Linked DNA regions of Kluyveromyces lactis. The protein of the gene in region 1 purifies or fractionates together with the protein of each later gene. This does not show direct contact. Links are inferred from orthologs where the notes say so. Each region holds a gene or a part of one and is shown in the gene's direction. Other genes may lie near its edges. The genes, in order: CPA2 and CPA1.

Evidence for each region.
Region 2: the proteins of CPA2 (region 1) and CPA1 purify together in Saccharomyces cerevisiae (affinity purification with mass spectrometry, with the first as the bait; 3 studies listed by BioGRID). This does not show direct contact. The link is inferred for Kluyveromyces lactis from reciprocal best matches to the Saccharomyces cerevisiae genes CPA2 and CPA1.

Annotation. Positions count from the first base shown.
Region 1 is NC_006042.1:292,045-305,787, reverse strand, and holds CPA2 (carbamoyl-phosphate synthase (glutamine-hydrolyzing) CPA2), read left to right. Parts: upstream 1-5,551; coding exon 5,552-8,905; downstream 8,906-13,743. Other genes in the region: KLLA0_F03234g (uncharacterized protein), read left to right, coding at 754-1,257; SFC1 (Sfc1p), read right to left, coding at 1,956-2,873; KLLA0_F03179g (DUF5137 domain-containing protein), read left to right, coding at 9,386-9,667; KLLA0_F03168g (uncharacterized protein), read right to left, coding at 9,971-11,527; KLLA0_F03146g (arylsulfatase), read left to right, coding at 12,906-13,743. UniProt on the Saccharomyces cerevisiae protein: Large subunit of the arginine-specific carbamoyl phosphate synthase (CPSase).
Region 2 is NC_006042.1:2,313,316-2,325,859, reverse strand, and holds CPA1 (carbamoyl-phosphate synthase (glutamine-hydrolyzing) CPA1), read left to right. Parts: upstream 1-6,832; coding exon 6,833-8,062; downstream 8,063-12,544. Other genes in the region: KLLA0_F24981g (ChAPs family protein), read left to right, coding at 1-520; KLLA0_F24948g (DUF2867 domain-containing protein), read left to right, coding at 1,380-1,880; DFG5 (putative mannan endo-1,6-alpha-mannosidase), read left to right, coding at 2,577-3,932; RAX1 (Rax1p), read left to right, coding at 4,728-6,002; KLLA0_F24860g (uncharacterized protein), read left to right, coding at 8,503-12,147. UniProt on the Saccharomyces cerevisiae protein: Small subunit of the arginine-specific carbamoyl phosphate synthase (CPSase).

The DNA of each region.
Region 1 (13,743 bases):
AGCATTTCAGCTATTGCCATCCTTGGTTTCCAGTAACGAATGCCCTGTCAGTAGGAAAATCAGCAGGACAGTTTTTGAAATGGTCACTGGCACAGTAAATGCCACGAATACACTATGTTGGTGGAACTTTAGAAAAGGCACAGGCAACTAATTAATTTTGCAATTAGTCCCGAAAACACACTATTAATGGCGCTATAATAGAACTAGTCGTCCTACAAACAAATATGCGTAATATATATTCATGGTGATAGCTGCATTTCAAGAACCTAAGGCACAATGCCCTCTAACGCTCTTTTCCTTCGTAATTTGATATAAACCTACTTAAAAAAAATTGTGTCAAGAGAATAAAAAAGGGTCAAGATTTCTTAATTTTTGATGGAAAATTTTGAAATAGTACCGAAACCCTGTAAACTACTATACAAAATGTAGGTACTGACGATCAGGTAGTGGTTTCAAATAATTCTAAGTTGTAACAAGAGTTTCCGCAGTAAGGGCTTTACAGTTTCAAGTATTTTTACAAATGTCGATTTAGTAGTCTTGTTTAAGAAACGTAATGACAGTTCCCGAACTTTATCAGAGTAATAGAACTTTTCATTTAAATACCATTGGTTCAAACGAAAGAGCCATATAGTTAACAATGAACTAATTATTTCTTTTGACCATAATTTACTTCGAAAAGGTTGGTACTGACTGATTAAGAAACAACAGGTAAGAAATACGGTGAAACAGCAGTGAAACAGCAGTGCAACAATAATGACACAACATTCCTCAGAGATAGAATTCCACGACAAAGAAGAACCTAGCACTCTAGGTTTTCCTCAGCTAATGGGGATGGTGTACCATACGGATTTTCAAGTTACAAATGATGTCACCAAGGGTGATGATATGACCAGATGGTTAGATAATCAAACCGATGAAGTGAGCTCGAATTTACTGCAGAGTGTTGAAGATACTCAAAGTATACAATCTGACATTTCCTTAATTTCAGAGTTTTTCCGATCCAAAACAGACTTGGTAAAATCATTGTTAGAACGGAATTCCGAAGGTAACAATGATTTTTCTGAACCGGATCCTATAATATTAAACTTGCAACAACATGTGGATGGAACCTCACAGGATGAGAACGATGCTAAAACGTTGTTCGATTTGGATCCCATGGAAGAAATGAACTTGATTGAGCAAGAAGTTATGAATAAGATTTTCACAGAACGAGTTATACTGGAGATTATCACTACTTTGCGACATGTTCACATATAAAAACTGCAAATTTCAATCTGACGCTATGATAAAGGGGATTTTCATTTGTATATTTAAATTGAAGTTGATATTAGTTTTTTTTTTAGAAATTATTTAGTTTATTCGATACTTTAGCCTAAGTAGATGCTATAAGAAACCAAGAAATGTCTTACTATGTTATAGTTAAAACATTCAGTTTCTAACGAAGGGTAGAGACAAAAGTAGTAATAATGATAATAATAATATTGATACAAATTGTGAAAAATTTGAATGAATGTTGAGTTACTTTGGTGGAGATAGAGAGAGAGAGAGAGAGAGAGAGAGAGAGAGAGAGAGAGAGTGTGTGTGTGTGTGTTGATCTTTTGGCGAATTCTAATATTGGAAACACTATAGCATCTCATAACATTTTGTGTTATCTTTCAACTGCGTCTCATAATTAATCTGAATTTTATTGGGTGAATTGTTCATTGGTTTAACAGAAGAAACGTAATGATGCGTGGGAATATTTTTAGTTCTTCTTGAAATACTTCAAGAAGTTTTGTCTCTTTAACCATTCTCTTAGTTTGTGGAAAACACCTTTATGAATATATCAAAATTCTAATGCAATAATCAAAATCTATAATTATGATTGAGAAGTCTTGAATGAGAGAGGGAGAAATGGTAGTAGGAGCATGATTGAAGGAAAAGAAATGATGGTGAGAACCATAAATTAGATCGATTCAAAATACACCGGTCTTCTCCAATTCTTTACGAATGAATTCATAAGCAGTGAAAGTGACAGCTTGACCTGGAGCCACACGCATCACTCTTGGGGTGATACCTTTATATAGGGCACGGAAACCTTCTTCTTGGATCAATTGTTTACCAATGATGGTAATTCTTTTGAGACCGGACATATTCTTAGTAGATTTATCCTTTTGCAATCTCGTCTTGATGGTATCTAACGGTGCATTTGAGAAGGGACCAATGGCACCTGAGATTAACCCAATCAATGAGGTTTCCCAACTTGGCAACATTTCTTGATTATGATAACCTTGCAAGAATTCTTTTAATTTAGAGTAAACGGTGAAATTAGCACCTTGGTTGGTGGCTTGTCTAGCAGCAGTCAATGAAACACCACGGTACAAAGCGCTGAAACCTTCCTCTTTTACGATGGTGTAACAAGCTTGCACGGCGTTCTTGTATTTTGGAGCACCTTCGACAGGGTTTAGATGTTGTGCTTGTAATCTAATCTTCACGACTTCCATCGGATTGACAACGACGACAGCCTCGGTGATACCTGCACCGACACCAGCAATGAAAGTGTTACCAGTAGAAACTTTACCAGTTTCCTTATCAGCAAGCAAAGTTCTATAGAACTCATAAGATGAGAATCTAATAGCCATCTTTGGTGTGATACCGATGACGACAGCACCTAAACCTTTGTAAAATGCCAAGAAACCTTCATTTCTATAGATTTCACCACCAGTCTTGATGAAACCTGGTGCTTTTACACCGGAACCAACAGCATTTTTGTAGATCTGCATTCTAACCTTGATGGTATCCAATGGATGGCAACATAGACCTTCCATTAGACCCGCACCACCGCCAGCAATCAAATTGACAGCTGGGTTTGAAGATTTTTGTTTCGAAGCCATTTCTGTAGAATGATGTGATATAATTCAAAATAAAAAGACGAAAAGATCTGTAAACCGACTGTGCGAATATAAATATACACGTTATTATTCTCTTCTAGTTGTCTTTTGGCAGTATTTAATACCTCAAACAAACAAATATGACGACTTTTTAAAGCTATCTTTATCTGTGATTCACCTTTAAGGGGAAACGAGATAAATATGCAAAAAATTCAGAAACGAATTCAGATATAAGTTAGTTGAAATCCCAAGTATCAAACTCAATTAAAACCCCACATTTATATATCTTATTCCTAAAATTCAAAAGTTTAAAGAATTGTAAATCTATGTTATAAGTAAAACCCGTAAAAAGACCGAAATTAAATCCCATTAGAGAGTGACTAAAAACTAGGCCCACATCTAGTACTGATTTAACGGGCAGAGGCTCGGACTGTAGAACTCTGAGAATTGACTGCAAGGGAACCCAAAAAACAAAAAAAAACCCTACTCAACAACCAAAATAAGTGGACAGTGAATGGGAAGTACGTAAAACTGTATATACAGTGAGAAATGAGAAATGCTCCGTTAAGTTCAATGATCAACTCGGAATCCACCAATGATCTTTAACTGCTACTTACTCCTCCTGTTGAGCTTTCTAGGCGATATGGATCAAACTAATGGGTTTTTACTCTATGAATATTCCCATGCAAACTGCATGGGATGTTTTACAATAGAGATACTTTCTCTAAAAGAATCATAAGGCCTTTGAGTCTGCCTTTTTTTTTTTTGGTGGTACTAGGTAGATAGGAACCTAGCAATCAGGCAAAGGGGCGAAAGGGAAAAATGAATGATGTCTTTTTTTTTTGTGTTTCGCATGAATTCAAAGAAGGGGGAAAGCAGAGATAAACCGAAGAGTGGCTAGTAGGAGAAATGTTGGATAGCGGTTAAGTAGCCGGCAAATCGGAGTCCGGACTAACTAGTTGGCAAGCTGAAAAATCAGACGGAGCGAAGAGACCAATAAGAACGGAACATTACCAAAATGTTCTGAATCGAAGCCAAATCTCCGGGTCAATGGCATACTTATGGTGATTTTTTTTTTTTTCAGTTTTTTATTATTTTCAATGTGTCTCTCGAGTTACCAGGGAAAATTTTCAGTGGTTGTCAGCTTCAAAAGAACCAATTCGGAGCCGAAAGGGTTACCTCTTACATGCCAGTGATGTCTAAGATTATCACGTGATCGAGGTTGGTTGTTTTTGTCTTTTATCGTATATGTTCATCTTCAGGCGGTCCCTAGTCGGTTGCAGCTCAAGTTGGGCGGCCATTTGCAGACCGTATACTGTTTAATCCACATTTCTACCCCACGTCTGGAGCCCGGACTGAAGTCTTGGTGGGTAGAACGATTCGAGCAGCCGCACTTCCCTACTAACAATACTTGTCAGTTAAACTTTTATCGGAGTTGGCAATATAATACAAGCATTAAGAGTATTATTTGCATCACCTGACCATGCTATTGAGTCCCGGAATCTCTCTGTTCAGTGTTACCCTGACATGATGATATTCCTTCGCTCATATTATCTGTATCTGACATCAATTGACTATTCATTATACACTGTTGTATGGTGAGTATCGCTCGCTCCCTCCACCATCATCTTTCCATTATATAATGCCTAATCATCCTACGAGTTGGCATAAGATTGATTTTTCTCTTCTATTTGTACTTCTCTATCTCGTATACTTTCGTATAGATGGATCTTAACACATGCCAGGGCATACACTCTTTGTGTGGCTGGTTATTTATTCTGACACGCGTCAGTAAATACACGGAATGACAAATTTTTAGAAGACAGTAAGTATTACCCGGGTATTCCGGGTAACTGGCCAGTTTTTTGGTTTTGGTTTTTTTTTTTCCTTTGATTTTTCTTTTCCTTTCACATCGCTGAGTGTTGCACTAAACGATCAGAAAACTTAGGTTCTAATCCAGTTCGAGGTTTTACATCCTCTAAGTGCAAGAACAATCGAAACTATCCCCAGTTTGAAAACAGCATTCTTACTACGGTGTTACTGAAGACAAACGTAAATGGTACCTATACCAAAACGTAGTGCGTCTTATGATTCAAGGATGAGTCTCTTCTTATGTGTCAATAGCCCGATGTTTGTTTTTGCATTCGAGAAAGTTTCACGTAACGGTATTGACTCGTCCTTTATTTCTTGGATTTCTGGAAGATCTTGATATATAGCTTTAATTAGCATATACAGCTCTTTCCAAATTTTAATTTAAGAAGTGAAAGAACTCTCTCTAGCTTTCAACACAAGCACAATTATTACATCACCAAATCAATGATGATATGATGGGAAAAAGAAAAGAAAGCTGCACAGTGTTTCTTACAATGAATCATAGCACTTTTTTTTTTTAGTTTTTTTCTATTGTTTTTTCATCGATTTGGCAATTTTTTTCAGCGTCACTATTTGAGTATTTAGTTTCGATGAACCTTTATCACATCTTCCTATTGACTCATCGCAAATAAGAAGGAACAACTAGCTTGGGCAATATATATATATAAAGAGCAATACACTGATATCAAAATTGGAATTTAAACTTCAGCATAGCTCTTATCAAAAAAGATATCAGTCGTTGCCAAAAGAAAAAAACGATAGTAGAGTATAAGAAGCAACTACAAGGAAGCCCAACCATTTTACTCGCTATGTCTACTAGTATCTATTCATCTACCGAACCCACGACATCGGCATTCAACACTGATGAATATAATCCACAGTTAGTGGAAGGTGTGGAATCAGTGCTTGTTATCGGTTCTGGTGGTCTTTCGATCGGTCAGGCCGGTGAGTTCGATTATTCTGGTTCTCAAGCTATCAAAGCTTTGAAAGAAGCTAACAAAAAGACAATTTTGGTGAACCCTAACATTGCCACCAATCAGACCTCTCATTCTCTTGCAGACGAGATTTATTATTTGCCTGTCACTCCGGAGTATATTACCTATATCATCGAACGCGAAAGACCAGATGCAATTTTGCTAACATTCGGTGGTCAAACAGGGTTGAACTGTGGTGTCGCTTTGGACAAAGCTGGCGTACTAGCTAAATACAACATTAAGGTCTTGGGTACCCCAATTAAGACTCTAGAAACATCAGAGGATAGAGACCTTTTCGCTCAAGCTCTAAAAGAGATCGACATTCCAACTGCTGAGTCCATTGCCTGTGAAACCGTTGATGCTGCTTTGGAAGCTGCTGACATTGTTGGATTCCCAGTAATTGTTAGATCTGCTTACGCTCTTGGTGGTTTAGGATCTGGTTTTGCTAATAACGCTCAAGAAATGAAACAATTAGCTTCTCAATCTCTTTCTTTGGCACCTCAAATTCTTGTCGAGAAATCTTTGAAGGGCTGGAAAGAAGTGGAATACGAAGTGGTTAGAGATCGTGTCGGAAATTGTATTACTGTGTGTAACATGGAAAATTTTGATCCACTAGGTATCCATACAGGTGATTCTATCGTTTTTGCACCTTCTCAAACTCTATCCGATGAGGAGTTCCATATGTTGAGAAGCGCAGCAATCAAGATTATTAGACACTTGGGTGTCATCGGTGAATGTAACGTACAATATGCTTTAAGTCCAGACAGTTTAGATTATAGAGTCATTGAAGTGAATGCACGTTTGTCTCGTTCATCCGCTTTGGCCTCAAAAGCTACCGGTTATCCATTGGCTTATACTGCCGCCAAGATTGCATTAGGATACACTTTACCTGAACTTCCTAACCCAATCACCAAGACAACAGTTGCAAATTTCGAACCATCTTTGGATTACATTGTCGCTAAGATCCCACGTTGGGATTTATCGAAGTTCCAGCACGTGAACAGATCCGTCGGTTCATCTATGAAATCTGTCGGTGAAGTTATGGCAATCGGTAGAAATTTTGAAGAAGCTTTCCAAAAGGCCATCAGACAAATCGACCCTTCATTCATTGGATTCCAAGGGTCTGATGAATTTGATGATTTGGACAATGCTTTGAGTGAACCTACCGATAGAAGATGGTTGGCTGTCGGACAAGCTTTGATCCATGAAGGATATTCGGTGGAAAAGGTCCATGAATTAACCAAAATTGACTCATGGTTCCTATTCAAGTGTATGAACATAGTCGACATGTATAAAGATTTGGAACAGGTTAATGACCTGGAATCTTTGGACAAAGAACTGCTACTTGAAGCGAAGAAACTAGGTTTCTCTGATGCTCAAATCGCACTATGTTTGAACAAGGGTAGTGACTCAAGAACCTCAGAATTAGAAGTTAGAAGTTACAGAAAATCCTTTGGAATCGTTCCGTTTGTCAAACGAATTGACACCCTAGCCGCAGAATTCCCTGCTCAAACAAACTATTTATACACTACTTACAATGCTACTAAGAGTGATATCGAATTCACTGATAATGGTGTTCTAGTGCTCGGCTCAGGTGTCTACAGAATAGGTTCAAGTGTGGAATTCGATTGGTGTGCTGTTAACACCACAAAGGCCCTCAGAAAAGAAGGGAAGAAAACTATTATGATAAATTACAATCCTGAAACGGTTTCCACAGATTTTGATGAAGTTGACAGATTGTATTTCGAAGAACTCTCTTTCGAGCGTGTCATGGATATTTACGAGTTGGAGAATTCTGAAGGTTGTGTCATCTCCGTTGGTGGTCAACTTCCACAGAACATCGCTTTGAAACTTCTTCACAATGGTGCTCACATATTGGGTACCTCTCCTGAAGACATTGACAAGGCTGAAAACAGACACAAGTTCTCAACTATTCTGGATTCTATCGGCGTCAATCAACCAGAATGGAGTGAGTTGTCTTCTGTTGAAGAAGCTAAAGTATTCGCTAATCAAGTGGGATACCCGGTTTTAATTCGTCCATCGTACGTGTTGTCTGGTGCTGCTATGAGTGTTGTTACTGGTGAGCACGAACTTGAAGTAAAACTTACCACAGCTTCGGACGTCTCTCCAGATCATCCAGTTGTTATGTCTAAGTTCATCGAAGGTGCTCAAGAAATTGATGTGGACGCTGTAGCACATAATGGTATGGTATTAGTTCATGCTATTTCTGAACACGTAGAAAACGCTGGTATTCACTCTGGTGATGCAACGTTAGTCCTACCTCCACAAAATCTGTCTCAAAATATCAAAGATAGATTGAAAGAGATTGCTGACAAAGTTGCAAAGGCATGGAATATTACAGGTCCTTTCAACATGCAAATTATCAAAGATGATAGAGATGAAGGTGTTTCCTTGAAGGTCATTGAATGTAATATCAGAGCTTCCAGATCCTTCCCATTTGTCTCAAAAGTTTTAGGTGTTAACTTCATAGAAGCAGCTGTTCAAGCATTTTTGAGCAAGGATGTTCCCGAACCTGTAAATCTAATGGACAAAGCATATGACTATGTTGCAACCAAGGTTCCACAATTTTCTTTCACCAGACTAGCCGGAGCTGATCCATTTTTAGGTGTCGAGATGGCATCCACCGGTGAGGTTGCGTCCTTCGGTAGCAATGCGTTAGAGAGTTACTGGACTGCTATTCAAAGTACAATGAATTTCAATGTTCCTCTCCCACCAAGTGGTATTCTCTTCGGGGGTGACCTATCTAAGAACTATCTAGGTGAAGTGGTGAAATATGTTGCACCATTGGGTTACAAGTTATATGCTACCAATGAGGATACCAAGAAATATTTGGAGACGTTCAGCAAGGGCGTTTCAGTCGAACTAATCGAATTCCCAAAAAATGACAAGAGAAAGTTGCGTGAACTCTTCCAAGCCAAGGATATCAGTGCTGTATTCAATCTTGCCGCCAAGAGAGCAGAGAGCCTAGAAGATGTAGATTATATCATGAGAAGAAATGCTATTGACTTTGCCCTTCCATTATTCAATGAGCCACAAACTGCTATGCTATTTGCGAAAGCTATGAGTCTGAAGATTGCAGAAAAGGTGAAGGTTTTGGAATCTAAGGATGTTATTGTTCCTCATGAAGTCCGTACCTGGAGTGAGTACTTACACTGCAAACCAATTTAATTATCCTTCAAATTAATCTCAAAATCAAAATAAATTAATAATAATTCTCTTAATTGGTATTACACCAAAAAGTTTGTATATACGAACATATTTCTTAATAATACATAGATGATAAACTTGATAAATGTTATTCGATTTTTCAACGATACTGTAGTCGTTGTCTCTAAGGTTGTAGTTAGAGATCCATAAAGAGCCATACAATATAGTTGAAAAAACCCCAGAGTTCACCTTTGATGTAAAAAAAAAAGAAAAGTGCCTTGAAAGATGCTAACGAAGTAGAATTGTATCTATCATATTAAATACCTGAGACGTTGATTAAGTCCCTAAAAGTGTAGTTATTGAGCTGTGATACGTTCATGCTTCCCTACAACAGTGTTCTAATATAGCAAATTACTGCTACCTTCGCTGATTAGGTTTAATCAGAAAGTGTGATTTGAGGCAATACCAAGACACTTCTGAAAACCTAGTTGGCAGTGCAACATGGATGAAAACGATCCATATGGCTGGTACCTGGAGGAACCCGATAATAGCGACTGGGAAACTGATGATACTCAGCAAATCATCAACTCTGAAATGTATACCAGAAGCCTACAACCTGAAAAACTGCCGGCTCTACCACCTATCAAGGAAATAACAGATGACAACCTTAAAAGAGATAGATCAGAACGTTCAGATTCGAAGATGGTGACAAATACAACATATTCCAATTCCAATTCAGATCCTCCTAATGAGCTTCACGGTATTAAAAGACAGAGAAAGTGAGGGCCGTATCACAGAGTTGACTATTTTCCTCTTCTTTCAATATAATGGGTGAGCGGTGCTTCCTCCACAAATCCATGTAACGATTTTAATGACATTGCGTAATATGTATATATACAAAATTTATAATCACAGTAAAAACTAGTACTGACTCAATACGTTCAGTGTTATATCCCAATGACTCATGAAGAACTGTTGTTATCGGTTGACATTTGACTAATTGGCAGAGGAAACAATAGCTCAAAAGGAATAAAAATTGGTAACATAAGGAAAGATGCAAATTAGATATAAGCCAGATGTAAAAGTTCAGAATTTCTTTGTAACAAAAGCAAATACAGAAGATAGAATTGTATTATTGTGCGCATTTCTAGGTGATCTATTAAGCTTTTGTTTAACCGCGTAACATTTGCTCATCGTATATAAACCACTAGAAATCATGGACAATACAGAAACATAGATGATAAAGTTGTTATAATTCTTTAAGGAACCATCACCGATGATAACACCTGAGACTGGAATTGCAACTAGAAATGAAAGACCAACGAAACAATACATTGTTGCATACCTTCTTCCAAACTCGTTTGTCCTTGAAATTTGACCGCAGCAGACTGGAGCGAGATTAATCAATGACCCATAAAACAAACCATAGACTGCGGAAAATCCGTACATTACCGAAGGACCTATGTTTCCGAAAGGTAACCAAAATATTAGCGGGACAAATCCTAACAAGAAATTGATCATGATCATGACGTTAAATCTGCCCATCACTTTATCAGCCAAAAAACTAAACATGTATCCCCCGACAATACTTAAGGTGTTCAAAATGGTGACAAGTAAAAATGAAGTATTCTCAGAATACCCTACCGTTGTACAGTAAGATGTGATATAGGTTAAAACGGCACCAGTAGATACCTCAGCCAAACACGAAGCTAAAACACAAAACAGATACTTTTGATCGGATACTATAGACTTGTAATCAAAGGAATCTCTTATGTTGTAAAGTAAATTCTTGTGGAAAGGAGTGCTAGCATCTTTCGGTTCGACAGCCGCACGTTTCTCGGGGTCTTCCTTGATTAAAAACATCGAAACAGTCAAACATACTCCACAAATTAAAGCCATAATTCTCATAGTCCAGGCGAACCCCAAATTTTTAAACGATTTTTCTAAGAATAATGGGAAAATAACACCACCAATACTCCCACCGTTAATGGCAACTGCAGTGGCAATAGCTCTTCGCTTCTGAAAATGGTGACAGATACATCCCAATAACGGACTAGACGTAATACCTGATCCTGTGCCAACGCAAACACTCAATGCAAGAATAAACTGCCACACTTTAGTACATTGTGCTACTGCCAATACACCCCCAACGGTCATTACTGTACCTATCACTAAAGGTTTTCTAGCACCATATCTGTCAAAATACATCCCACTGAAGACACTTGTCCCTAATAACAAACAACTCGAAACAGAGAAAATCCACGATACTGTAGATGTTGACTCATCCTTTAACTGGTGACGTGCAACGTACGTTTGAATGACACCTGCTGAAAAATACAACCCCCATGTAGGTAAAATACCTAAAAATGAGCCAAGAACAACTAGCCAAGCTGCGATCCCTCCCTCAGCATACGTAAAACCATCGTCATCGTAATCTGTATAGGCATCTGAACCTCCGTCATCATTATCAAAACTTTGGACGGGCTGTAGTTCATTTATATTTATACCTACTTCTGATCCGATAACGTTCTTCCTCGTCCTTTGTTCATTAATACCTTTCAACTCGATAGTTTCAATATTTGACATTGCAGCTTGTGTTAATTGCCCATCAATTCCCTTTACACCCATTGAATCGGATGACATATCTAAAAGAAGTTTACTTCACTCACACATGAGATATCGAAATGTTAACAAACCTTTAAAGACACCTCCCAGAATCCAATGCTATTCAACTGCGTATGGATCCTCCCCAAATATATATATGATATACTCCTGCAGTTGGCATATTCTTTTTTAGACTATTTTCCAATTTTTTACGTAACGTTCAATGCAGATTCCGAAGTTCCGGAGGAGACCATCAACGTCAACGTATTAGGTTTGCAAGTGACTCCATCTGTCGTATAATAATTTGTACATGCATAACCTGTATCAGACATAACGACAATGAACAGAGGAACTAGGTAGAGAAATTCTGGAATTGGCTACTCGAACCGGTTGTCAACTATATTAACTATGATTCTGAAGGTAAATAGTCGGTATTTGTCACGTGACTTTCCAGTGGAAGTAACAGAGGAAGCTCATATCATTTTTTTTTATTTTTTGAAAACTGTTCGTGCCCTTTCAGTAAGCGACAAAACCATTGCGCTGAGTTCTGGTGAGCTTATCGGAAAATTTTGAAGATCTCCATTTATTGCAGACCCACTGCCTCTTCTGGTATTTTATTGCGAAAGTCTTGAGGTTGTTCAAAAGAGCGGGTAACTTTTCGTATTTACTTTAGGCGCTGTTTCCCAGTTTCAGACATTCAATACCTCAGCTATTTGAGGGCCTCCATGAAAAGTGACCGGGTAACATAATGGGTGGCCAAGTAAGAAGCTAATGCAGGTGATGCAACATGCCAACGCATTTGTGGGGACATCTCACATCTAAAATTAAACACATATTACCTGTCAAGCCGTAGGTGAACATTAACAGGCATTTGGTTACTTATCTGTGGATACGGAATACATGCACTTGATGCTGAACTGTTGGGCGCTACCAAACTTAATAGCACGTGACTTCTCCTAATTTTGCAGGTTGTCATAACCAAAATAGATACAGCAAGCCCATCCGCTCAAGAAAGAGGACATGAAATTGTGATGTTTTTCTTGCTAGATCATAATGTTTGTAAGATTTTGGAAGAAAAGACTCAAAAAGACTCCGTTTGACTGCTAAATTCTGGGCAAACTGGAAAGTACCGGGCTTTTCTCTGGAAGTGTAAGGTATTACTAAATTAACCGGTTACTGTTCGCTCCACCCGATCATGAGAGTTTACAGAAAGTTCTTACCTTGAAACTTTTTTACTGTCACCCTTTTTATCACTTCGAGTAAAGCTTTAAATGACATAATTTACAATATAAATATGGATCATCTCACCTGTCATCATGGTCTTTTAGGAATTGTGAAGGTATACTAACCAATTGTTACTCTATGATCTATCCGAAAATCCGCAAACTGCATTAGAGAAAAGTACAATCGAATTGCAATGACCAAAACAGATGAACCTAAAAAGCCGAATTTCTTAATTATTGTCGCCGATGATTTAGGGTTTACAGATGTGTCGAGTTTTGGAGGTGAAATACAAACGCCAAACCTTGATAAATTGTCTAAAGGTGGTTTCAGATTCACTGGTTTTCATACTGCATCGGCATGTTCGCCAACTAGATCGATGTTGTTGAGCGGTACTGACAACCATTTGGCAGGTTTGGGCCAAATGGCTGAATATGCCAGGCAATTTCCAGAAAAGTTCAAGGATAAACCTGGTTATGAAGGTTATTTGAACTATAAGGTTGCTGCATTGCCTGAAATATTATCCCCAGAATATTACACGCTGATTTCGGGGAAATGGCACCTTGGATTAGAAAAGCCATATTGGCCAAGTGACCGTGGATTCCAAAAACGTTTTACCTTGCTGCCTGGTGCAGGAAACCATTTCAAATGCAATTTGGATAGCAAGTTTCTTCTCCCATGGATTTATCAGGAAAATGGCGAAAGGGTAGACCATAACAAGTTTCCAGAAAACTTTTATTCCACCACTTACTTCACAGATAAATTTTTGGAATATTTGAAGGATGATGAAGAAAGAAAAGGTCGCCCATTCTTTGGCCAGTTGACCTACACAGCTCCACATTGGCCATTACAGGCTCCTGCTGAGACTATCGCAAAATACAAAGGTAAGTATAATGGTGGTCCCCAGGCATTGAGAAGACAAAGATTGGAAAGAGCTAGAGATCTTGGTATTGTTCCAGCTGATGTTGTTGCTCATTTAGTAGAAACTCAAAGAGAAAAGACTTGGGATGAATTAGATGATAAGGGAAAGGCCT
Region 2 (12,544 bases), about 2.0 Mb from region 1:
AACTCGGGACATAAGAGGGAAGCGTTTATGTGAAAGGTGGTTTGATAATCTCTTCATGTTGTTATATGATGATTTAAGGGTCCATTCTCAATGGCAATCCAATGAATTGAAGCCAGAAACAACCTTAGAGTGGGAATTAATTGGATTATGTTGCTTCCGTTTGAGACAATTCCAAAGCGCAAAGGCTGCGTTCCAAAATGGCCTACAGAAAAGATTTAGCTCTCAGTCCTCAAGAAAGTTACTACAGATTCTACTAATGGAACGTGAATCAAACCCTTCTGAGGATACTGATCTAGAAATCATAACTATTTGCGTCAAGCTTTGTTGTTGGAGCCACCGTTGGTATGCAGAATTCTCAATGTTACTTTTAGATGCCATGGCAAAAGTTGTTGAGAATTTGGGTATCACCAGAGTAGAGAATGAAGTCAATTCCAGATTCCCAGAATCCGTGTCTGGCCTATTCCATGACAATATTCTACGATTTTTCCAGGAATACAGCAACAATTACTACGATGAATGATTTTAACATTACTGAAAAGTGATCTCTCATTTATGTATTATAAGACTGTGTAAACTCCATACAGTGAATTCTATCCTACATGTCTGTATATTAATGTCACATATTTTTGATTTCTGTCCAATAAATTAGTATACACCGTTGAAATACCTTCTTAGTAGCAAGTTAGCCACTAAGGTCCTAGAGCTGTACCGAATCATTATTGCCTTTCAAGTGCATTGAGAAATAACCAAAATGTGTTTTTGATTGTATCACTTTCCAGTGTCGATCTCTGGTAGCGTGTGAACCAATCATGGCAGCATTGGGCAAGAATTCGAAAATATCCGGTAACGTTCGTGCTGGAATTGTATATCCATACACCTTTCAGCATGTACCAAAAGGAAACAGTACTGCCAGAAAAACCTGCTGGTCGTTTCTCACCTGTCACTAGTGCTATTAAGGTGGCTTAATTTTTTCTAGTCGAATGCAATACTTAAGATCCGACAACGCACACATACATTTGATAACCTTTTAAATGCATCAGCTATTTCCCAAACTGGATCCAAACAGTGCCCTCTTTACTGTAGATAGAACAGAAAGTATATATTAGTAAGTTGCTTACCAAGCAGTCTTCACCAATAAGAGTTGATCGAAATCAGTCTATTTGTAAGCCACCGTCGAGTTCATATTGAACATCTATGGTCAAAAAGTATTATAAGAAAATATATTTGGTCGTATTCAATAAGAAAGTAGTTCGAATGTCTGAGATCTCCCCCACTTTGTGAACATTTCTTGGAATGATAAGCAAATACTGTAGGCCATTTTACTTCATCAAACAAAATCCACTGATTAGTGAAAGCAGTTCTGCGACTCTCATACAGGTATGTCGAATTCAACAAACACAGAAAAAGACCTAATACCTCTGGTTGCTCCGCTCAACACTTTAAATTACATCCATCAAGATCAGAAGCTTATTGATAAGCAGATGACAACCACTCAAGCTTATCAATTGATGACAAGCAACGTACCTTTGTGGTTGGATACGGCATTCAAAACAAGAGATTTTCTTAGTAAGTGGTTGGGTGGGATACAGTCGATTAAGGGTTTTGAGGGTTCTGCGAAGCCGCTAAAAGTAGGCGATAAAGCAGATTTCTTCGACGTTGTCAAAGTGTCGGATGATGAACTATTTTTGAAGTCTACTGACAAGCATTTAAGTGTATTGGTAGCATTGCAAATCAAGAACCACGATGACCTGAGAAATGAATTCAGAATAGCCACCAGTGTGGTTACCTACAATTTTTTTGGCAGGGTGTACATGCTGCCTGTGTCTATGGCACATGGCTTTATTGTTAGGTCCATGTTGGATAAACTCGAGCCCATTTGAAACTTATGCCAACATATGGTAAAAAATATGGTGGATCTGTGGTGTTTGGGCTTGCAGTCATATAACAATTAACATACATAATATCATCACTATTACATCTTTAAATCTCGGTCACCTATACCACCTCAGAAAATACAGCTCTAGAGTTGTCAGCTGATAAATGCTAGCTAGGAATTTTGTATAATACATCGTAATTTACAGGTAAATTTCTGCGATGCCTGTCAATACTTTTCAACAAAGGCAATGCAAGATAAATCGGTATGGTCTTGAAACCTGATATTCCTGCAATAGGAACGCATCTGATTCTGCCCTACATGATTTTCCGGTTACCCTAGTTAAATACCAATGGGGCTCATCATGAAATATTTCCATATCACGTGCAAAATAATGGCATTGATTTGACATTTCTAAAAACAGAAATAGCAGGAAACCAACCCACAGAGTTTATACTTAATGATAACTGAAGCCCTCTTCTGTTGTGAGATATTCAATAATTAATAAACAGTGGCATTTGAAATTTAGACAGAAGATACCAATAGTAAGCAATTGGTATCTGACGAGGAAAACAATTATTCAGCGTTCTTTCACCTATCCTCGGATATTCTGCTATTTATTACACCAAATCAGGCTGCTAAGTTCACTTCCGGGGTCTAAGTCCTTATTATTATATTTACCTCCATCGCTAGGGAAATCATAATGAAGATTAGTCCGTTGTACAGCTTGTTTTTAACGGTAGTATCCGTCCTTGCGATTGATTTGGACACTAGTTCCAAGTCGTCGATATGTACAGCAACTGCTTTGATTCAACAAGGTATTAGTGATTACTATGAAGGTGACGTATATGGTGGGACTGTCGGTATGTTTGTATCGCCATACTATTGGTGGGAAGCCGGACTTGTCTTCGGAGGTATGATTGAAAATTGGTATCTATGTCAAAATACATCGTATGAAGATATGCTTTACGATGCTTTGATGGCACAAACTGGGTCCGATTATGATTACATGCCAAGTAATCAAACTATGGTGGAAGGTAATGATGATCAAGGTGTTTGGGCTTTGACAGTAATGACTGCCGTGGAAAGAAATTTCACAAATCCGAAGGAAGACGGCACACCTGGCTGGTTGGCCATGGTACAAGCTGTTTTCAATCAAATGTACTCACGTTGGGATTCAGACCATTGTAACGGTGGCTTAAGATGGCAAATCTTTACCTGGAACTCGGGATACAATTATAAGAACACAATTTCCAATGGTTGTCTCTTCCAATTGGCAGCACGACTCGGAAGATATACGGGTAACACTACTTATTTGGAGGTAGCAGAAAAGGTCTTCGATTGGCTTGTCGATATTGATTTCGTAGTAATGAAGGAAGAGGCCAATGTTTTCGATGGTGCGACTATCGACGATAACTGTACTTCCATTGTGAAATACGAATGGAGCTATAACCATGGTGTTGTTCTTGGCGGATGCGCGTATATGTACAATGCAACAAATGGGTCTGATGTCTGGCAGACACGTACCGAACAAATTTTAGGTGGGGCCACTTCATTCTTTTTCGAAGATGACATAATGTATGAAAGTACATGCCAAGCTTCAAACAAATGTAATACAGATCAGCGTGTCTTTAAAGCAATTTTCTCAAGAATGTTAGGTTATACTTCAGTTTTGGCTCCGTTCACAACGGATACAATAACCCCTCTCATAGACACTAGTGCAGCAGCAGCAGCCAAATCATGTAGCGGTGGTACTGATGGCCATACCTGTGGATTAAATTGGTTTACTGGTGATTGGGATGGGCAGTATGGTCTTGGTGAACAGGCGTGCGCTTTGGAAATCATTAACCAATTGCTTGTTCACGATCTACCAGCGCCATTAACTGAAAGCACTGGTGGGTCTTCCAGTGGTGATGCTAGTGCCGGTCTAAACGTCAGTACCACAAATGTCTTACAGAAGAACATCAACATCACAGCAGGAGACAAAGCCGGTGCAGGTATTATTACTACAATTGTGCTTGGTGTTCTTGTATTGGGGACAGTATGGATGGTCTTATAATTGTAACATATTAATAAAGTGAGTTTTAGCATGCAAGTTCGATGTGACAGAATACTGAGCTACGTATTTATTACGTCAGCTTCATCATCCATGTATACTTTCTTTCACGAAGAAATCATGAAGCTTGTTCAGCATTTGTTAAATAGTAATGCATAAAATTTCCCCAGGTTTACGAAGTTAAACCGTGTAATCTACTACTGATGTTATATGTAAGTCAATCAACGATTCTATGTCCATTACTTATCGATTTTATAATGAAGTTTCGAAAGTCACGTATAAGGCCCTTCTAATGATGAAAGATGGAAGCCAGTAAATAATTATGGATATTTTTAAGTTGTTTTAGTAAGAAAGTTGCCCATATAATTCTCGAGTATCGAATACTTGGAATTGATTTCCCATCCTTTCCAAACTATTAGACCCATTGTTGATGCAAATTACATGCTGGTTTTTCCTAATCGAGAAAAATTCTTGATCTGGCCTTACAAAAAAAAAAAAGCATGAAACTGAAACTCAACTCATTCTAAAATACAGAGATGAGAAAGACATATTGACAACTCACCAATTCCTACTCAATTGCTAACGGTCAGTTTGTGTAGCTAACGGTCGTCGAAATACTTCAATTAACAGGCAAGTGGCACCTTACACGTTATCTGAGAAATATAATTTATCTCTTTCAACCAGTCCGTAGTTGTTGTTGTCACAGTATATTCAAAGAAACTGCTCCTATTGAAATACCGGACATCTTAACAGCACTTTGAAGCCATTCCAGTGTTAGCAAACCGCTGAGCAATAGTCATGGAAAAATTGCCAAATTCCCAGCGAGCCCGCTTACCCACTCTATATGAAGTATTAAACCAACAAACCGCTGCGCCTTTGGATTTATGGTCCTTCTATACTTACCTGTCCCAATACCCCCATGCCATAGTGTATCTCGATTTTTGGACTGATGTGATGGCATATCTGCGATTGTGCAAAGATTATGTGAAGGGTATACGAGAGTCTGTTCTTGATGTTAACAAGCTTGAAACTCCTACTGTTTTGCAAGAAGGTAATGGAGATGACAAGAGAGAATCAGTATCATCGGCAATGCTTCTAGAGGCACTAATGAATGATGGTTACTTGGATTATAATGACTCACAGCGTGTGAGTCAGTTTTTGAAAGGTGAAACGGACTCTCCTCGTTTATCTCAGCTATTGCAGGACTGGAAACAAGTGAACAACGATCAAATTGATTTCAGCGATTTCGTAGATGGGTTAGTCAAGAGTAATGTTACGAAGGATCATAAACCAAAGCTCACCACAAAGCAGCTAATATCAAGTGCACAAGATATTGTATCCACCTACTTACTCTCTCAAGAACAAAGTGATAGATTTTTATTTGAAATTCCAGCATATTTAAGAAACGATACGATAAGGCTTATTATGGAAGAGAAGAGACATGACCCTGAAGTGTTCGAACCAATTAAAGAAATTGTTTATCAATTCTTAGAAGTGGACTGTTTCCCAAGATTCTTAGGATGCGTTGCATTGCACAATTTACATGATGAGATTGTATTGCAAAGACCTAAGAAAAATAAATCATACAACTCTCGTTCAAACTCTCCCTTCAGCCAATGGTCTACTGCCTCCAGACTTACTATTGGACTCGCATGGTGGCTGGTAGGGCTTTGGATTGGTTATACACTAATATTTATGAACTACTCGAAGGGAATAAGGGTGGTATGCATTGTTCCATTTTTTTTGGGATCTTACTACATAATATGTGGTATCTACTTAGTAGATATCATCTACGCATTCAGTGGAGTTACTCAAACACTAGTTTCAAAACGTAAACTTGATGACCTGGAACTAAGATCGATGAATAATCATCGTTCAAATTCACTTCACTCTTCGAACGAGGTGCCCTGGTGGTTAACTATTTTTGGAGGCAGATCTAGATTATGCAAAGTAAAACATCCGTTTGTGAACTCAATAATGATAAGACGAGCCCTCTGGTGCCTACTATTGGTCTTGATTATGACGGCAATACTGACAGCAATCTTTGCTGCCGTGCCTGGACGTAGAATATGAAACCACAAATTCGAACAATAAAATTCAATTTTTAATGACTTTAATCCTTTAAGTAATAGCTACAGTATATCTAATATCAATAATAACGTAATGATGATAACTAATCCTATTTATGTTGTTTCTCTCTGCCTCTACGAACTTAACGGAAGTGTGTATGATAATCTAAACAAGTCACGTGCATTTGGTTGAACAACAGAAACACCAAATTCTCAGTTACCCTCCACCAAACCCCAAACCCATATATTACATACAAACATGGGAGGACTCGCTAATTTTTTTTTTTTTCACAGGGAAATCGTTTCTTTTCTATTTAGTCACCGAGATGCAAATTCGAGATGACATTCAAATTGCATCACTATCTCAAGAAATGCGATGAGAATTAAATAAAGCTTTTCTTTTATGATAAAATATAAGAGCCATAGTGATATAAATACAAGAACCATAGCAAGTTTTTTTATCTCTTTTCTGACAGTTCAGTGCAATTCCAGAGAACATTATAAACTTCTTCCACAAACCGTACTCAGCTGTTGCAAACGAAACCCACATAGACTGGACTGAAAACTTGATAGTCAAGACTTTACGATTGCTAAAAATTTTGATCATCAATCGAAATCTGCTATCATATTATTAGAGAATTTTGAATTTATATCTCTTCTCAACTAACAATTCCCATTCTTCGTTAAAGAAATTTTATTGCTCTGATTGTTTGAGCCAGAGCTTAAATCTCAAAAAACCTTTATCCCACTCTTTTTTAAGTTGTATGTTTAGACTCTGCTTCTCTTCATACACTTGCCAAGACTACATTCAAGACCATATCTGGAAAAATAACAATGCCTAATTTCAAAAGTACTGCTCCTAAAGCTAAATTTGCCATTTATAATAATTCAAATCCAGATTCGGAATCTGGGTTTGTCGAGTTCCAAGGCTATTCCTTCGGTGCTCCTGTCTCATGCAGTGGTGAAGCCGTTTTCACCACTTCTTTAGTTGGCTATCCGGAGTCGATGACAGATCCATCCTATAAGGGTCAAATCCTCGTCTTTACGCAACCATTAATCGGTAACTACGGTGTGCCTAGTGGAGAAGAACGTGATGACTTTAACCTATTGAAGTACTTGGAATCTCCTCACATTCACGTCCGCGGTATTGTTGTTGCTGAGTATGCTTGGAGATACTCTCACTGGACTGCTGTTGAAAGCTTGGCAACATGGTGCCAAAGGGAAAACGTCACCGCCATTGGTGGCATTGATACTCGTGCCGTTGTTCAAATTTTGAGAGAACAAGGGTCATCACCTTCTACAATTACTGTGCAAGGTTCTTTTATCCCTAAGCCAATCAAACCAGAAACTGACTTGGTTAAGATTGTCTCGACAAAGAAACCATTCTTTGTGAAAGCATTGTCCTCAGTGAAAACTCCATTCAACGTTGCTTTGATTGATTGTGGTGTCAAGGAAAACATTATTAGATGTTTAGTGGAAAGAGGTGCTAACGTTACTGTTTTCCCATATGACTACCCAATCACATCAGTAGCAAACCAGTTCGACGGTATCTTCATTTCTAATGGTCCAGGTGATCCTGTTCAATGTATGGAATCTACTGTTCCAGAATTGAAGAAATTGTTAGAGACCAATACCTTGCAAGATTTGCCAATCTTCGGTATTTGTCTAGGTCATCAATTGTTAGCTTTGGCATCTGGTGGTAAAACAATTAAACTAGGTTATGGTAATAGAGCTCACAATATCCCAGCATTGGACTTGACCACTGGTCAATGTCACATTACTTCACAAAATCATGGATATGCTGTTGATGTTGACACTCTTCCAGAATCTGGGTTCAAACCTTTCTTCCAAAACTTGAACGATAAGTCCAATGAAGGTATGATTCATGTCTCAAGGCCAATCTTCTCGACTCAATTCCATCCGGAAGCTAAGGGAGGCCCGAGAGATTCTGCTGTACTTTTCGACAGATACTTCGATAACATGTCCCAGTATAGAGCCTTGAAGGGTCCAAAAGTCAAGCTAACCTTAAATACTTCATCATTGGCGACTGAGAGAGTATTCTAATTTATTCAACTTTTCACTTTCTTAAATCACACTTTCTATCTTAGCGGTCAAGCGCTACTCTCTATACTTTTTGATAACTACTCTTTTACATGATACATAATAACTCACCTCTTGGGATAACTCTCAGTCTTTATTTATCCAAGTTCGCGCAATCCTCACGACGTTACGAGATATTATGGGTTATTATGCACTTATTGAGTATTGATCGTGTTCCTCGAAAATGTTACCCGGACAACTTTATCTTGCAACTTACAATATGATTAATGCGAAGTATATATAGTAAATGAATGAGGAACGTGTATGGGGCACATCACAGTGCTGGGTTAGAAAGTAGCTTCAGTTCATCAGGTATCTTATAAACAACGTTAAATTTTGGAAGAACATCCTAAGTATCCACTATATCAGACCGTTGGGAGGACGTCAATAAAGGCAACTATATTATGACCGATGTGAGAGATTGTATGGGAAGAACTCTTTCGTATCACTTGTCCATGTGGCCAGCTGCTAATGATTCACAGTTGAAAAGGATCAACCTCATGGATCAAGATTGGGAGAGCGGATATACTGCGTTTCATTTGTGTATGCTAAGCTTCCAATTAGAGAAATGTTACAAGTTGTACGCAAGAAGCCTACAGGATCCGCATGATGCTGGTAAATCCTGGCAAATAACTGATAAATCTGGTATGTCACCTTTACTGCTATTGCAATCGATGGTTATGAATAAGGCAGGGTATAAGAGGAAACTACTCAATAAGGATGTCAAGAGTGGAAAATCCTACTCCAGATGTTTCAATTTTGGTTCCAATGTCAACATGCAGTTAGGTACCGGTGATAATAATGATAGATTAACCTCATGGTATGAAATTGATTCTTGGAAGATGTGTGATAATGATCTAAGATTTAAATCATGCTGTATGACCAAATACTACTCTCTGTTATTGATGGTAGACAAGGATGGAACAAATTCAGCATACATCACTGGCCGTTCTACGAAATTAAATTTGTTTGGAAAAAGAGATCTCTTCAGGTATGTAAAATTCTCTGACAAGAAATTACAAGATATCAAGTGCTCCAATCATCATATAATTGCCAAAACAACCAATGGAAATATACTTTTATGGGGGTCCAATAAATATGGTCAATTGGGTTTAAACCCTAAAACCACCGAGTTTTCAGATCAACCCAATTCAATAGAGCTTGGACTCGGAAAAGATGATCTAATCGCATGTTCGAATATACACACATGCGTGCTATCAAAATCTGGTTCAATCAAATCTTGGGGATTAGACGTTGGTCAATTTGGATCTACTAGTAAATTCAAAAAAGAGACCCCTTATCTCGATCAAAAAGGACAAATTTCGCCACAACCAGTTACCTCGTTTTTACCAGCTGATATAAACGAGCCGACTGTTCTTGTCTGTACAGACCTCGTTACTTTTATTTTATGCGGTGGAAATCGACTATTTGCGCTTACGAATTATAGAATATTGACAGTTAAAACGACACCTTCACTGCACGATTCTTTCGACAAGTTTTTCAGTCGAAAATTTCATGATCATCAAATAGTTGATATCAAATGCAAAGACTCACATGGTAAAAACCTGATGTTACTCTATGATGACGGTACCGTTGCTTGTATTCCGGATTTCAAAAAGTCACCTATACCACAATGTTTCTGGAGGCCGAAGTACTCCTGGGATAAGTGTATATCTTTCGATATAGGCAGTGCTGGGCAGCTTATTGTTTTAACTGCGAAAAGTGATATTTACTCAAGTCCTTTGTTAGGTCGTAAGTTCACCAAGTTACAAGATAGTATGGCAGGTGCCTCATCTTGTCAGGTATCTTGCGATCCATTGTTTGCTTCATTCAATGTTTTAACAGCCGAACATACTGCAATGATTACTGAACCTGATTTTAAACAACAATCTAATCTTAAGTTAAATGACAATTATGACCTTGATGTGATATTTAATGGGAAAAGGTTGACATCTTGCCATAGGGCAATACTTGCAGCCGCCCAGGAAAAGCTTTACTTGGAACTAATAACTAATGGAAAAATTGTTTGGAGGAACAAATTAGAAGCTATTGATATGAATCTAAGTACAGAAAATGGTTATGTGTGGACGCTCGAGATCTTCGGACCTGAGGACTTCGGCATTTATTTCAAAAGCTGCATTTCTTGTTATTATTCAGTCTCCGACGAAAATATGCAAGCTCTCAATTGTGCAACTCTTCAGAACTTTATTGATGTCTATTACTTACCGAGTTTTTTTACACAACCAAGTACTTTAGAAAGAAACATCAAAATTTCAATACAACCTGATTTTCCAGTCTCACCGAATGTCACCCTTCTTTTAGAGGACGGTAAGAGTGTTCTGGCCTACTCATTTATTTTACAGGCCCATTCTATGTATTTCAGAAGACTTTTCTCTCAAACCTGGTCAGCTAATTTCAGCGATCATAAAGTGGACTGGACAGATCTCTCTTATGATATCTGCAGAAGCATTCTTGATTGCATCTATAATATATCCTGTCAAAAGAAATCTACTCAGGTACTTGATAAAATTGCATTCAATATGGGACATCAAAGGTATCACGATAGGTTATTGCACATGCTTGAAATATCAGATAAATTTATGCTTTTGACGTTAGTCCAACATATAGAAAGCCAGTTGATATCATCAGTTAATTCAAACAATGTTATTGCTTTCTGGATTGCAGCTAGCGACCTTAATTTACCGGATTTAGCCGCCAACTGTCAGGAGTATATCTTCAGGAATCCTTCTGTCTTATTTAGCTCTGACACCGTAGAGCATATCATGCAAAACATCACATCAGAAATGTGGAAATCCATTGAGCAAAAATTTAGAACAGAATTAGGCATGTGCTCACAGGAAAGTTGGTATTATGGACCGAAAGCGTCAGATTACATTCGTCAACTGGAAAAGAATATTGTCGCTTTCAATTCTCATTTCATCTCGGAGGAAAATCCATTGGAGATTTTGGTAGACTCAGTTATTTATAAAAAGCATAGACAAAAGAGTGGTTTAGATGTAAGGAAACCCAGCATCAGTAAAACTACACGAAGCTCATCCATCAATGAGAATCTGGTAAATATTAGAAAACCAAGCGCTGTAGCCCAGAATTCGATTGCTTGGAATAAGTCATATAACATGACAGATTCCGCAATTGATGATGACGATGATCAGTCTACTTTTGTTGAGGTTTCTAAGAAGAAGAAACGAAGACCATCCAGCATAACAAGAGCTGCTTCGATAGATGACAAAGCGGCGCATGAAATTCATACCAACATGGACGGGAACAGGTTACTGGTTCGCAAAAATAGTTCAGAACATTCATTCCCTGCTCTTGGTGAAACGACTAACAAGTCAAATAGTACCGTCAAGATAAAAATAAAGAAGGAAACTCAAAAAGAGAAAATTAAACGGATGGCTGAGGAAGCCAAATTCCAGGAGAAGCCAAATGAAGACAAGACTAAAGTTTGGGGCCAACATATGAGGAAGTCCCCGTTAACAAACAAACAATCAACAAAAGTGACTGTATCTTCGGAGGTAAAAAATCTTTCAGGTGTAAAGCCAGCTTCGACCAAATTTCCAACGTTGCATGAAGCTGTGAAAAACGGGAAAAAGCCAACAGGTATGGTCGCAATTTCGGGTGACGGTACGAAGCAAACTATGCCATTATATGCCTCTACCAAGAGTAACTTATCCTGGGTCGCTAAGGAAACGACACCCACACCAACAAAATCTATTCAGGAAGCTTTGGAGGAAGCAAAATTTTTGAAGTGGTGGAATGAAGAATCACAAAGGATACAAGCCCAACAAGCGGCGTCGGAGATGCTAATGGGAATGGAGACCGGAATCCCATCTTCGAAGCCTGGTTCCCTTAAAAAATCTTCTTCGATACAATCTAATGGTAAACGCAAAAGTAAATCAGCGGATAAATCTATGCGTGGAAATAACACATCCAAAATATCGACAAATCAACCTGAAAAGCATGATCAGACATCCAATACGAGTAACAATCGAAGAAGAAGTTGCACAAATCCAAATAGACAATCCTAAATACATGTTATAGAGCATACCAAATCTCGCTAAGTGGTATAATTCAGAGCAACAATCGGTACTAAAAAAGGCAGCTGAACCACTTAATCAGTATGCGCTTGATATCGTTCTTGATCACATATGTGATCTTACAAGTTATGTATATCTATATCAACTTAATCGTGTAAATATTAAATGGTCATGTTCTACTTATTCTGCGCTTTGTACTAATGGTAGATGCAAGGCTAATCACATTCTGCCACGCTTTGTTCTTTAAAGTCAATGAGACTACTCTGAGGTATGTCCGTTCTGAGATCATGTATTATCATCATTTTCCACGCGGTTTGTTGTCCTAGCGATTTGAAAAAATGTAAATTTCCAAAAAATAATGAGTTGTGACTATCCACACTCCACTAAG